3 linked regions of the Macaca mulatta genome follow. The protein of the gene in region 1 purifies or fractionates together with the protein of each later gene. This does not show direct contact. Links are inferred from orthologs where the notes say so. Each region holds a gene or a part of one and is shown on either strand. Other genes may lie near its edges.

Region 1 (3,651 bases):
AAAGTATATGATAACAAAAGCAGAGACTGGAGTAATGAGTCTACAAGCCAAGGAATGCTAAGGACTGCTGGCAACCACCAGAAGCTAGGAAAAAGGCATGCACAGATTCTTCCTAAGTCCCAACAAGGAATCAAGCCTGCCAACACCTCGATTTCAGATTTCTGCACTTCAGAATCATGAGAGAATAAATTTCTATTATTCTAAGCCACCAAGCTTGTCATAGTTTATGTTACAGAAGCCCTAGGAAACTAATATACCTGCTTAATTAGTACTGTGGAATTCTAATAATTTCATTTTCAGTATTAGAAATATTTATCTTCAGCCTGAAAACTGAAAAAATATTTACCACTGAAGGTTATTTGTTCACAAATTCAGAAAACAACTGGAGATGTCATCTCCATCTAAGACACTGCCCATTTTAGGGTACTGCCACAAGGATGAATTTGACATAAGACTCTGGACTATGCAATCTACCATCAGGTATGAAAGATCTATGAAGTTCTCCCAAGGGCTAGTAGAGCACCTGTAAATAGCAGGGCTCAATTTACCTTAGCTGATAGCCAATAACCTAAAAAACCTACAGCATTGTTGAAATTCTCTGACTGGAATAGAAACCTAACACAAAACCACAGGTTTCAAGGGTGGGGGCTGTGGCTCATGCCTGCAATCCCAGCACTTTGGGAGACCGAGGCAGGTGGATTGTTTGAGCTTGGGAGTTTGAGACCAGCATGAGCCACTGGTGAAACCCCATCTCTACTAAAAATAAAAACTGCAGGTTTCGAGAAGTTTACTTTCCATATTTAAAGTCTTCCTTCCACACTTGTAACACAGTAAGGACAATTTTTCTAGCATTAATTACTGGTAAACTGTGGATTACCATTTTACTTTTTATCAATTCTGAGTTTCCCAAAACATGATTCCTTTATGCCCAGATTTATTTAAGTCAAGCTCCAACCAGTGCAAATATGCATGGCTGATTTAACATACTAATCTGACATAACAGAACAATTTCTAGAGTATTTTCAGAGTAGGTATTTTTCTATTTTATCACACCCATCTCTTCAGCATGAATTAAAAAGTATTACATAGAATGAAAGGTAAACTTCTGTCCCACGTTTCCTATCAAATTGTGTTACAACATTTCTAAGACTTAACTATTACTTGAAACACCCAAGAGAAGTGGATTCAGATTCTCCAGATGTCCCTTTGCAAGCATCTCTCATGATTAAAATTTGAGCCAGTCCAACTTAATACATCTCCGATAACTAAGTTACTGAGCAATTGGCAAGCATGAGAATGAGAATTAAAATATGATCCAGTCCAAGTTAATACATCTCCAATAACTGAGTAAGTTACTGAGCAATTGGCAAGCATGAGAACTGAGAATACTGACCACAAAAAAAATCTCCTTCAAACACTTATTTTCTAGAAAGGCCTGCCTCTCTTTACATGAAAAGCAGTAATGACCTACCTTGTTTTCGAACATCTTCTACAGCAGCCACAAGCTCCTCCTTGAGAAACTGGCTCTCCTTCGCAATTTTATCCCCCTTCTCCAAGAAATTCTCAGTTGCTTGTTCAACAGATGCAGCCAAAACATGAGCCTTCTTAGAACGACCTCTCTTCTTATTAGAGGGCCCCTTACTATTGGTGTTTACCAGGGTTGTAACCTAAAAGTTTCATTTTTAACATTAAACTGGAGTCAATTAAAATGACTAATATCTTTAAAGATAGCAAGATTAAGTTATTCTTTAAAAAAATCACATTTATGAGATTCCACTGAGCATTAACATACAATTCCCCATATTTAAGATATACAGCAATGATACTATATTTAATTTCCAAAATAACTCAGCTTTCTCAATGTGTACAGAATTATTTAACACATATTTTAATTTCTCAAATATGATCATTAGGTTTTTAGTTTGATTTTACAAATTAAAAAATGATTAGAGACAAGCTAGATGTCTCTACTATATGTCACCCATATAGTATCTGGAACACTCTATGTTCCAGAAATAGGTTAACAATGAACTTAGCTTTATCTGGAGATCGTACTGCCACTGTTTTCAAACTTTGCAAAATGTTTTAAGATAATTTGCTTCTGAAGTCTTTTCACGGTTTATTCACACAAATCTCAGCAATTTATTAGTAAAGGCCCCTAATAAAGGAATGACTGCCCAAAGAAGCCTACAGTGATGATGCTTTATGTCCTAGAACATTACCATCATTAATACACATAATACCGGATGATCTGTAGGTTAAAGATGATTAAGATATGTTACAGTGCAAATTTGCCAAACAAGACTCATTTTCTCTCTCTCTCTGAATCTCTCACATACAGACAACAGACACACTATTGCAAAACACTAAAGGTACACAGCTAGTTGCTAACAGTTTATGAACTACCCTAACATTGTGACATTTATAACATAATATACCAAACCTAAACCCTCAAGTTCAATTACCTGCTAATTAATCCCACACAATGAAAGGTGTGTTAAGCAGAGTGAGACACCTTAACAATCAAGGATCCAGATCCCACCTTTCTTGGGTTTCCCCTCTAAAGAAAGGTGAAGTATCTGCAAAGCACAAACATTTGCAAAGTTGCACTACATACCACGGACCCCAGTTACTAGCAATAAGACCGAAGAAAATGACCACAGCAGCGTTCTCAAAGGGTTAAACAAACTCATGCATCAATATTCAAATCATCTAAGAACTGTCACCTAAACTCAAGTACTGGAATTAAGGCTTTGAACTAAATAACCTTGCTCTTATGGTTGTTACCCAGGCCTGTACTATAGAACCAGGTTACAATGTATTTGTGTTTTCAGATTCTTACCTGTGTAACAAGAGGCTCCAACAGTCTCTCAACTGCCAGAGTCCTGATCTCTAGACTTTTGGGATCCCACTTGAAGTTTATGTTGCCTGCCTGGACAGCAGTCATTTCTAAAAAAGAAACAAAAAATCAGTCAAGCAAACATCAAACACAAACATGAAATATGTAACAAATCTTCTCCTACTTAAATCTTCTCCTACTTTGGGACTTTTGCATCAGGAAAGTTACATTCACTACAGATGAAAAAATTCTAACTAGCCTGCACATGAGGACCCAGTAAACCTTACAATCTCTTAAAATTTAATCATTTCAGGCTTACAAATACTAGGGGTACTACAAGAGGGCATTCCCAAACACACAGAACGTTTCCCTTTGGGCTTCTCTAGCGCAAGACTTCCTACTTCAGTTCCTACTCAGTTTATCTGCCCAATCTTTTAGAAACAAGATGAAAAGCTAAAGTAAACCTTTTTTTTTTTTTTTTTTTCTTTTTCTTTTTTTTGAGACGGAGTCTCACTCTTTCGCCCAGGCTGGAGTGCAGTGGTGTGATCTCGGCTCACTGCAAGCTCCACCTGCCGGGTACACACCATTCTCCTGCCTCAGCCTCCCAAGTAGCTGGGACTACAGGCGCCCGCCACCACGCCCAGCTAATTTTTTTGCATTTTCAGTAGAGACAGGGTTTCACCATGTTAGCCATGATAGGATAGTCTCGATCTCCTGACTTCGTGATCCACCCGCCTTGGCCTCCCAAAGTGCTGGGATTACAGGTGTGAGCCACCACGCCCAGCCGAAAGCTACTTTCAAAGACATTGCTT
Region 2 (3,674 bases), on another chromosome or scaffold:
GTCTTTAAATGGTTGTGTCTTTGTTCCAACTTTTAATCTGCCTTTTCTCAAGGTACATTCAAACTATTAATTTTCTTGTATAACTGAGTCAAAAAGAAAGGCGACTTGAAAACTAGGTACCAAAATAGGGTGAGAAGACTGTGCTGGTAAATCAGATAGTCTTGTAATATTTCCTTCTTTGGATGTGTTAGAAAACAATTGCTAAAAGGAACGTAAATTTCTTTTTGAGAGTATGGCCAAGATTGTGAAATACATTCCTGAGATTTCCAAACTTTTGTACTGGGAAACTTTTTGTTAGAATATCAAATCTATTAAGGGACCCACACAAACTGGAGTCAAATAGGACATCTTTGCAGTTTTTTAATAGCTTCCAATTTACCAGGTGAGGATTCTGTTCTAAGAATCATCAGTGAAGACAACGTAGTGAAACAGGGATTTGCTGTATCATGAGATTCTCTCTAAAACCTTTAATTTACGGAAATCTTTTTGGGGTGGTAGAGGCAGAGAGGAGGAGAATTAGAGGAAGTTAAGATTCTTGGTTGAAAACATAACTTTTAAAGGTAAAGTGGGGGATAAAGGAGGAAAACTATACCATATGTCAAGGGCATTATTTATCATAATCCACATTTTCAAACTCTAAGGAAATTGTTTATAAACAACGTCTGCATTTTTCCTTTGCAAGCACATACAATTTTTAACTTTGAACTTTTTTCCCTCAGAATTACTCCTTGTCTCAAAAAGCTTCAAAAATATCTTTGATTTTTCTTCCCCTATTAAGCGGACTTTGTTTTTTAAAGCATTTTTTAGCTTCACAGCAAAATTGAGCAGAAAATTCGAAGTTCCTATGTACCTCCCCCGTGCCTCCCCATCTCCAAGCAGCCTCCCGGACTACCAACATCCCGTTATCAGTGCTGTACATTTGTCACAAGTGATGAAACACATTGACACATCATTATCCCCAACATACATAGTTTACATTAGGGTTTACTCTCGGTGTTCTACATTCTATGGATTTTAATGTATAATTACATGTATCCGCCATTTTATAGTATCATACAGAATAGGGTCATTACCCTAAAAATCCTGTGCTTCACCTGTTCTTCCTGGCCAACCCAAAATATGTTTACTTTGACAAAGTTGTCTTCAAATAAATACTTAAAAGCAAGGACAAGACCCCTCAAGTTTTAGACAAGTACTAAATTAAGTAGCTCTTACCCACTTGAAAACTAAATGAATGTAGTATTCATCAACAGAAAGCTAAGCGAGAAAAATGCTTTCCCCGCTTTTCCCCCATGACAAGCAAGATTAACCAAAAATATCAGTTACTTAAAAGAAAAAAAGAAAGAAACCAAATGGAAAGAGAATAGAATGCAATCACGCTACTCTCAACAATTTATGTTTTTCTGTTCCTGGATACCTTTTTGAGTGCTTGCGAATTTCAGTCCTAAGGAATGAAAAAAACTGTTTTCTCATTTCAAGTTTTTATTGGTCAACAGCTTCCTAACCGAAAACTCTGCAGTCCTAACACAATACTTTCTATCCATTTTCAAAAATCCAATTCTGGGCATAAAATAGAATTAATGCTCAAGTCAGAAACTTTGTGTTTAGAAGATAAAATAAGAATATTAGGAACCATGAGTAAGAGAAAAAACAAACTTTTATTTTTCCCTTCCTCTCTCTGCAAAACTTCCCTATCCGATAAGGGAGAGCTAGCTTAAATTTACCACAAAGTAAAATATGAGCAAATCCCCTGGAACGAGGAGAACTTTCGCACAGGGCAATTCACTCGAATGTGACATCAGCATTCCTTCTGAGTCACAGTCTGGTCCCCACCCTTTTCTCCCAGGCGACACCAGGCTCCGCATAACCCGGGAGTGGCTCAGGTAAGGCCATCGGTTCCAATGCCTGCGAGGCAGCAGCCAGGCTGGAAATGTCTCCCTGCGCTGAGACGCTGGTGACAACCGCCCTTTGGGACTCCCTGCCAAACAGGGAGAATGCGCGCTTTGACAGATAATTCCCTAAGAGGGAGGCAGTGCTTCGGTAGACAAGTAATGAATGACCAAAAAAAAAAAAAAAAAAAAAAAAAAATTCACATTAGAAGTTATCACCAGCACGGGTGCGAAGGCAGTGCATTAAATCAACACTCATTTTATAGGGCCCCAGGCAGCCCAGCTGGAAGGGAGGAGGTCAGAGCTGTCAAAGCACAGCAGAGCCCCAAACCACAAAGGCTTAATGAAGTTGAACTTCCTGAGCCAGGAAGTGTCACGGTCTCGCCCGCACTCGCCCTAAGCTCGTCCTTTTGAGGAGGCACAGGCAGAGCTGAAACATCTTAAGTAAAGTTTCCAACACCTCCAACCGCTGGGACTCCGTAAGACGGGAGAGAAGAGCCCCGCGCCCGCCCTCGCTCGCGCTTCCAATTTTGTCGCTCTCGAGTTTGGGGAGCTGGCGGGGCCGGCGGGCACCTACTCTACCCAGGGGGCCGGATCTCTGGGCCCGGGACACCGCAGACCCAGAGCCGGGCTCACGCCAGGCGGCCCGCAAGCCCCACCCGCCTCGGCACCTCCGGCCGCCGCGCACCGCTCGACCCGCGCAGGCGAAGCAGCCGCTGCCCGCCACGAGCGCCCCCCTGAGCACCCCCCTACCTTCTTCACTTTGTTTTCCAGGTCCATGTTTATGCGTCCTATGGGTCCCCTCCTCCTCCAGTCCGGGATCCCACGGCCGGGCTCAGCTGGCCTCCGGCTCCGCTGCGGACACGGGGAACCTGTGGAACTCCCACGCCGCCGCCCAGCAGCCACTCGACCGGCGCCGTCGAACTTCCGCCGCCCAGTCCGCCGCAGCCGGCCTGCGGCAGGGACCCGGGAACAAAGAGGGCCGGGCAGCCAATGGCAGCCGGGCAGCCCCGGGCCGCCGCCAATCACCGAGCGCCGCACGCACCTTCGCGGCTCGAGCTCGGCGCTGGCAAGGTGAAGGGCGGGGCCGCGTCCGGGGCGGCGCCCTGCGGGGCAAGCTCGGGGACCCTGACCTGGTCCCCGGAGGATGCTCTGGGCGTCCACGGGCCGCTTCTAAAGAGCTGGGATCCAGCCTCCCTCTAGCTGAAGATAGAGCAGAACTTTTTTCATTTTGGCAATTTGTACCTGTGTTTGCCCAGGACTTTTTATCTGGGTCAAGGGGAATAGGTATCCCAACTTCTCAGTTTATTTTCAAACTAACTTCTCAGTTTATTTTCAGAGCAAAGAGAGAAAAAATAAAAGAAAAAGAGAAAGAGAGAGATTGTAGGGATCGTTAGGGATTCCTGTGATGGACCTTGGGCACTAAATTGACTATTGCGTTGTGGAGATGCCCTTTCCTCGATTGCTTTTCTCCAAAATCCCAAATACTGTCAAGAAACCGCATCTTACATCCCTAACGTCAGTGAATATTCTTAGATTGTTTCCTGAGCATTGGGTTGTTCAAAAGTAAAGATGATGTGAATCACTTCAGAAACAGGTGTCATTCCTTTGGAAGTAGAGGGTTGCCCTTTGTGCTGTGTGAAATGGTGCTAGGCCTATCGCGTGCTCAGGCTTTGATGACGCAGAGTCATCACATTGGTGCACCAGAGCTGAACTCATTTCATGCCCTAATTCAGGAGCAATTGCATCTAATACCTTCAGATTGGTGGGTCCGGAAGGGAGCCT
Region 3 (3,651 bases), on another chromosome or scaffold:
CACCGGTTACAGAACTGAGGCATAGCTTCTTGCCTCTAGTCCAGCTGTTCATCATGCATCCCAGCCACTGGGCCTTAGTACATCCTCATGAACCCACCTGCCCCCTGCACGCCACAGCCCTGCTCCAAGATGCTTGTCGCTGCCCACCTCTCTCCCACCCTGCCCAACCAAGGGGGCGATCCTCACTCCCTGTCTCCACTTCCTCCCCTTCTAGACTTTTCCCTAGGCTGCATCATCTAACTTCCCACCCTATCAACCCCTGTCACTGCCCTCACTGAGGGCTCCAATGACTGCACTGCTGCTAAACCCTGGGGACACTTTCCAGACCTCATGGGATGTGGCCATACCCTTCTGGAATCTCCCTCTTCTTTCTTGAGACCCCAGCCTCTTTGAGTTCTCTGGAGGAGTCCAGCCCTTTTTTTTTTTTTTTTGAGAGTCAGAGTCTCACTCAGTCACCCAGGCTGGAGTGCAGTGGCGTGATCTTGGCTCACTGCAACCTCTGCCTCTGGGGCTCAAATGATCCTCCTTGCTCAGCCTCCCAAGTAGCTGGGACTACAGGCGTGTGCCACCACAGCCAGCTAATTTTTTTTTTTTCTGTATTTTTAATGGAGATGGGGTTTCACCATGTTGGCCAGGCTGGTCTCAAACTCCTGACCTCAAGTGATCCACCCACCTTGGACTCCCAAAGTGCTGGGATTACAGGCGTGAGCCACCACACCCACCCGAGCCCAGCCTTTCTAAGAGTCCTCACCAGATGCCTTCACGTAAAATCCCTTGCTCTATTTGACCTTAAATCATGTGAGGCAGACTCAGTAGCTTATGCCTGTAATCCCAGCATTCTGAGAGACCAAGGCAGGAGAATTGCTTGAGGCCAGGAGTTTGAGAACAGCCTGGACAACATAGTGAGACCCCATCTCTACAAAAAAATACAAAAATTAGCCAAGCTTGGTGGTGCACACCTGTAGTCCCACCTACTCCAGAGGCTGAGGCAGAAGGATCGATTGAGCTCAGGAAGGGGAGGTTGTAGTGAGCCAACACTGTACCACTGTACTCCAACCTGGACTACAGAGTGAGACCCTGTCTCAAAAAAATAAAAAGAGGTTGGGCGTGGTGGCTCACACCTGTAATCACAGCACTTTGGGAGGCTGAGGCAGGCAGATCGCTTGAGGTCAGGAGTTTGAGACCAGCATGGCCAACATGGTGAAATTCCGTCTCTACTAAAAATAGAAAAATTAGCCAGGCGTGGTGGCACGTGCCTGTAATTCCAGCTACTGAGGAGGCTGAGGCAAAATAATCACTTGAACCCAGGAGGTGGAGGTTGCAGTGAGCCAAGATCATGCCACTGCAGTCCAGCCTGGGCAACAGAGCTAAACTCCATCTCAAAAAAAAAAAAAAAAAAAAAAAAAAGCAATGTTGCACTTCCTCAGCGTGCTGGCCTCTGAGGCTGCAAACCTAGGTCCTGAGAGCCAAATGGGATCTGTGCCCTCTGTTCTCCTAGTGGGAGCCTGGCACCTCCCAGGCACCCAGGTATATTTTTTAATTGAATAGAATTCTATTTTGGGGACATACTAATCTTCTGTGAGAGTATCATTGTATATGCATAAAATACTATTCTACGGGAACTGTACTGTTCCTAATATTTTCTGTTTCTATGATTCTTTAAATGGAATGTTTAGCAATTCTAGCCTTCTAAGATCCTCTAATCTGTGGCTCTATTATTAATAATTATTAACTAGCACTTATTGAGCCCTGTTTCGTGTAAGATGCTTTACATATATTATTTTCCAAATCTTATTCCTTGGGACATGAACAGTACATGTTACACAGAAAAATGATTCTGTGGCCTGAGAAGTATGGAAAATCCTGAGTTACACAAAGTTCACTGGAGTTCTCTTCTGCAGAGCTGTACATTGTAAATCTCCAAGAAGAGAATATTTTATATACCATTTCCTGTACTGGGCCCAGGGGTGTGCTGATAAATGTTTGACAACTGGCTGTCCAGGGGAAAGGGTTTGATTTGTAGTACTTGCCAATTTCCACAGTGTAAATACTCTCAACATGTCTCATTTCAAGCTATCGATGTGATGTCATCGAAGGCCAAGACAAGATGGGAGAAGATACTCATGAGTGCATCATTATTTAGTATTTCCATCATACAGATACCATAAACACAGATAACCTCAAAACGTAGTCAAAGGTAGCAAAATAATTAGGAAGCGATGAATTCTGGGAATTTGTTGTTTTTCATATGATTTATTTAATTGTAAGTTTATATAATTTAATTTGTAATAATGGCTGTATTTAACAATCAGCTCACAAATATTCCTGAAAATTTAAGCTGGTTCTCAAAAGCCAAGGTGATACAATCCAGTGCCAGCACACCACTGGCTAGGACTCCATCTTTGTGTGGAACAGCAAAAGAGTTCAGTGTTTCCCAGAACTCATCTTCAAAGGTGCTGTTCTACTCAGAGCAAAGCAACATCAGAAGCGATATTATTTCCGTTTTACAAGTGAGATAACTAAAACTCAGAGAGGTTAAGTGACTTCTACAGGGCAAAAATATCCTTTGCCTTCCAATGGCACCAAGTATATTTTTCCACTCAAAAAAAAAAGTTTTCTAAGCACCTACTCTGTTCAGGCACCATTCTAGGCATATTGGGACTCTGCCAGGCAACTCACACCATGAGAACAATTCATTGGTGACTAGTCAGAGGTTCTTTTTGGCTTTTTAAAAATTTTATTTTCGGGGGTACATGTCCGTGTTCGTTACATGTATATTGCATACTGGTGGGGATTGGGCTTCTAGCGTACCCATTACCCAAATAGTGAGCATTATGGCCAATAGGTTATTTGTCAACGCTCACCCTTATCCCAACCTCCCCTCTATGGGAATCCCCAGTGTTGATTATTTCAATTTTTATGGTCATATGTACCAATTGTTTAGCTCCTACTTATAAATGAGAATATGTGGTGTTGGATTTGTTGCTTCTGGGTTAGTTCACTTAGGTTCATTTAGGATTATGGCCTGCGGCTCTATCCATGTTGCTGCAAAGGACATGATTTTATTCTTTTTTATGGCTGCCAGAGGTTCTTGATAAAAACCTCAGTGTCACACTTAGAGACCCTGGCCAGCACCACACACACCACAAACACACATGCACACACATGCACATGCACACTTGTGTACACATTCTCATTCACATACTCTCACATGCAGCCGCCGCCACCCATTCCCAGTTCACGTCATCTCTTCTTTTCTAGATCAAGTCAAGTGTGAGTCGCAAGAACGCCAAGTACCTGCTCAAAGGAGAATTTGTGGACAAGGTCTTCCGGGTCGATGCAGAAACAGGAGACGTGTTTGCCATTGAGAGGCTGGACCGGGAGAACATCTCAGAGTACCACCTCACTGCTGTCATTGTGGACAAGGACACTGGCGAAAACCTGGAGACTCCTTCAAGCTTCACCATCAAAGTTCATGACGTGAATGACAACTGGCCTGTGTTCACGCATCGGTTGTTCAATGCGTCCGTGCCTGAGTCATCGGCTGTGGGTACGTTGTATGCCCACTCTGTCCTCCTTCTTCTCCCTCCTCCCTCCCTCATCCCCAACCTGGGGGCACCTCTCACATCAGCCACTTCACTGCCTGGGGTA

Evidence for each region.
Region 2: the proteins of CTNNA1 (region 1) and TES purify together in Homo sapiens (affinity purification with mass spectrometry; 3 studies listed by BioGRID and IntAct, with this or other methods). This does not show direct contact. The link is inferred for Macaca mulatta from reciprocal best matches to the Homo sapiens genes CTNNA1 and TES.
Region 3: the proteins of CTNNA1 (region 1) and CDH5 purify together in Homo sapiens (affinity purification with western blotting; 4 studies listed by BioGRID and IntAct, counting the BioPlex papers as one, with this or other methods). This does not show direct contact. The link is inferred for Macaca mulatta from reciprocal best matches to the Homo sapiens genes CTNNA1 and CDH5.

Annotation. Positions count from the first base shown.
Region 1 is NC_133411.1:147,648,431-147,652,081, reverse strand, and holds part of CTNNA1 (catenin alpha-1), read right to left. Parts: intron 2,950-3,651; 5' UTR 2,948-2,949; coding exon 2,843-2,947; exon of another isoform or gene 2,788-2,842; intron 1,694-2,787; exon of another isoform or gene 1,668-1,693; coding exon 1,472-1,667; exon of another isoform or gene 1,450-1,471; intron 1-1,449. UniProt on the Homo sapiens protein: Associates with the cytoplasmic domain of a variety of cadherins. The association of catenins to cadherins produces a complex which is linked to the actin filament network, and which seems to be of primary importance for cadherins cell-adhesion properties.
Region 2 is NC_133408.1:155,768,009-155,771,682, reverse strand, and holds the start of TES (testin), read right to left. Parts: upstream 2,851-3,674; 5' UTR 2,670-2,850; coding exon 2,643-2,669; intron 1-2,642. UniProt on the Homo sapiens protein: Scaffold protein that may play a role in cell adhesion, cell spreading and in the reorganization of the actin cytoskeleton. Plays a role in the regulation of cell proliferation. May act as a tumor suppressor. Inhibits tumor cell growth.
Region 3 is NC_133425.1:61,909,647-61,913,297, forward strand, and holds part of CDH5 (cadherin-5), read left to right. Parts: intron 1-3,261; coding exon 3,262-3,550; intron 3,551-3,651. UniProt on the Homo sapiens protein: Cadherins are calcium-dependent cell adhesion proteins. They preferentially interact with themselves in a homophilic manner in connecting cells; cadherins may thus contribute to the sorting of heterogeneous cell types.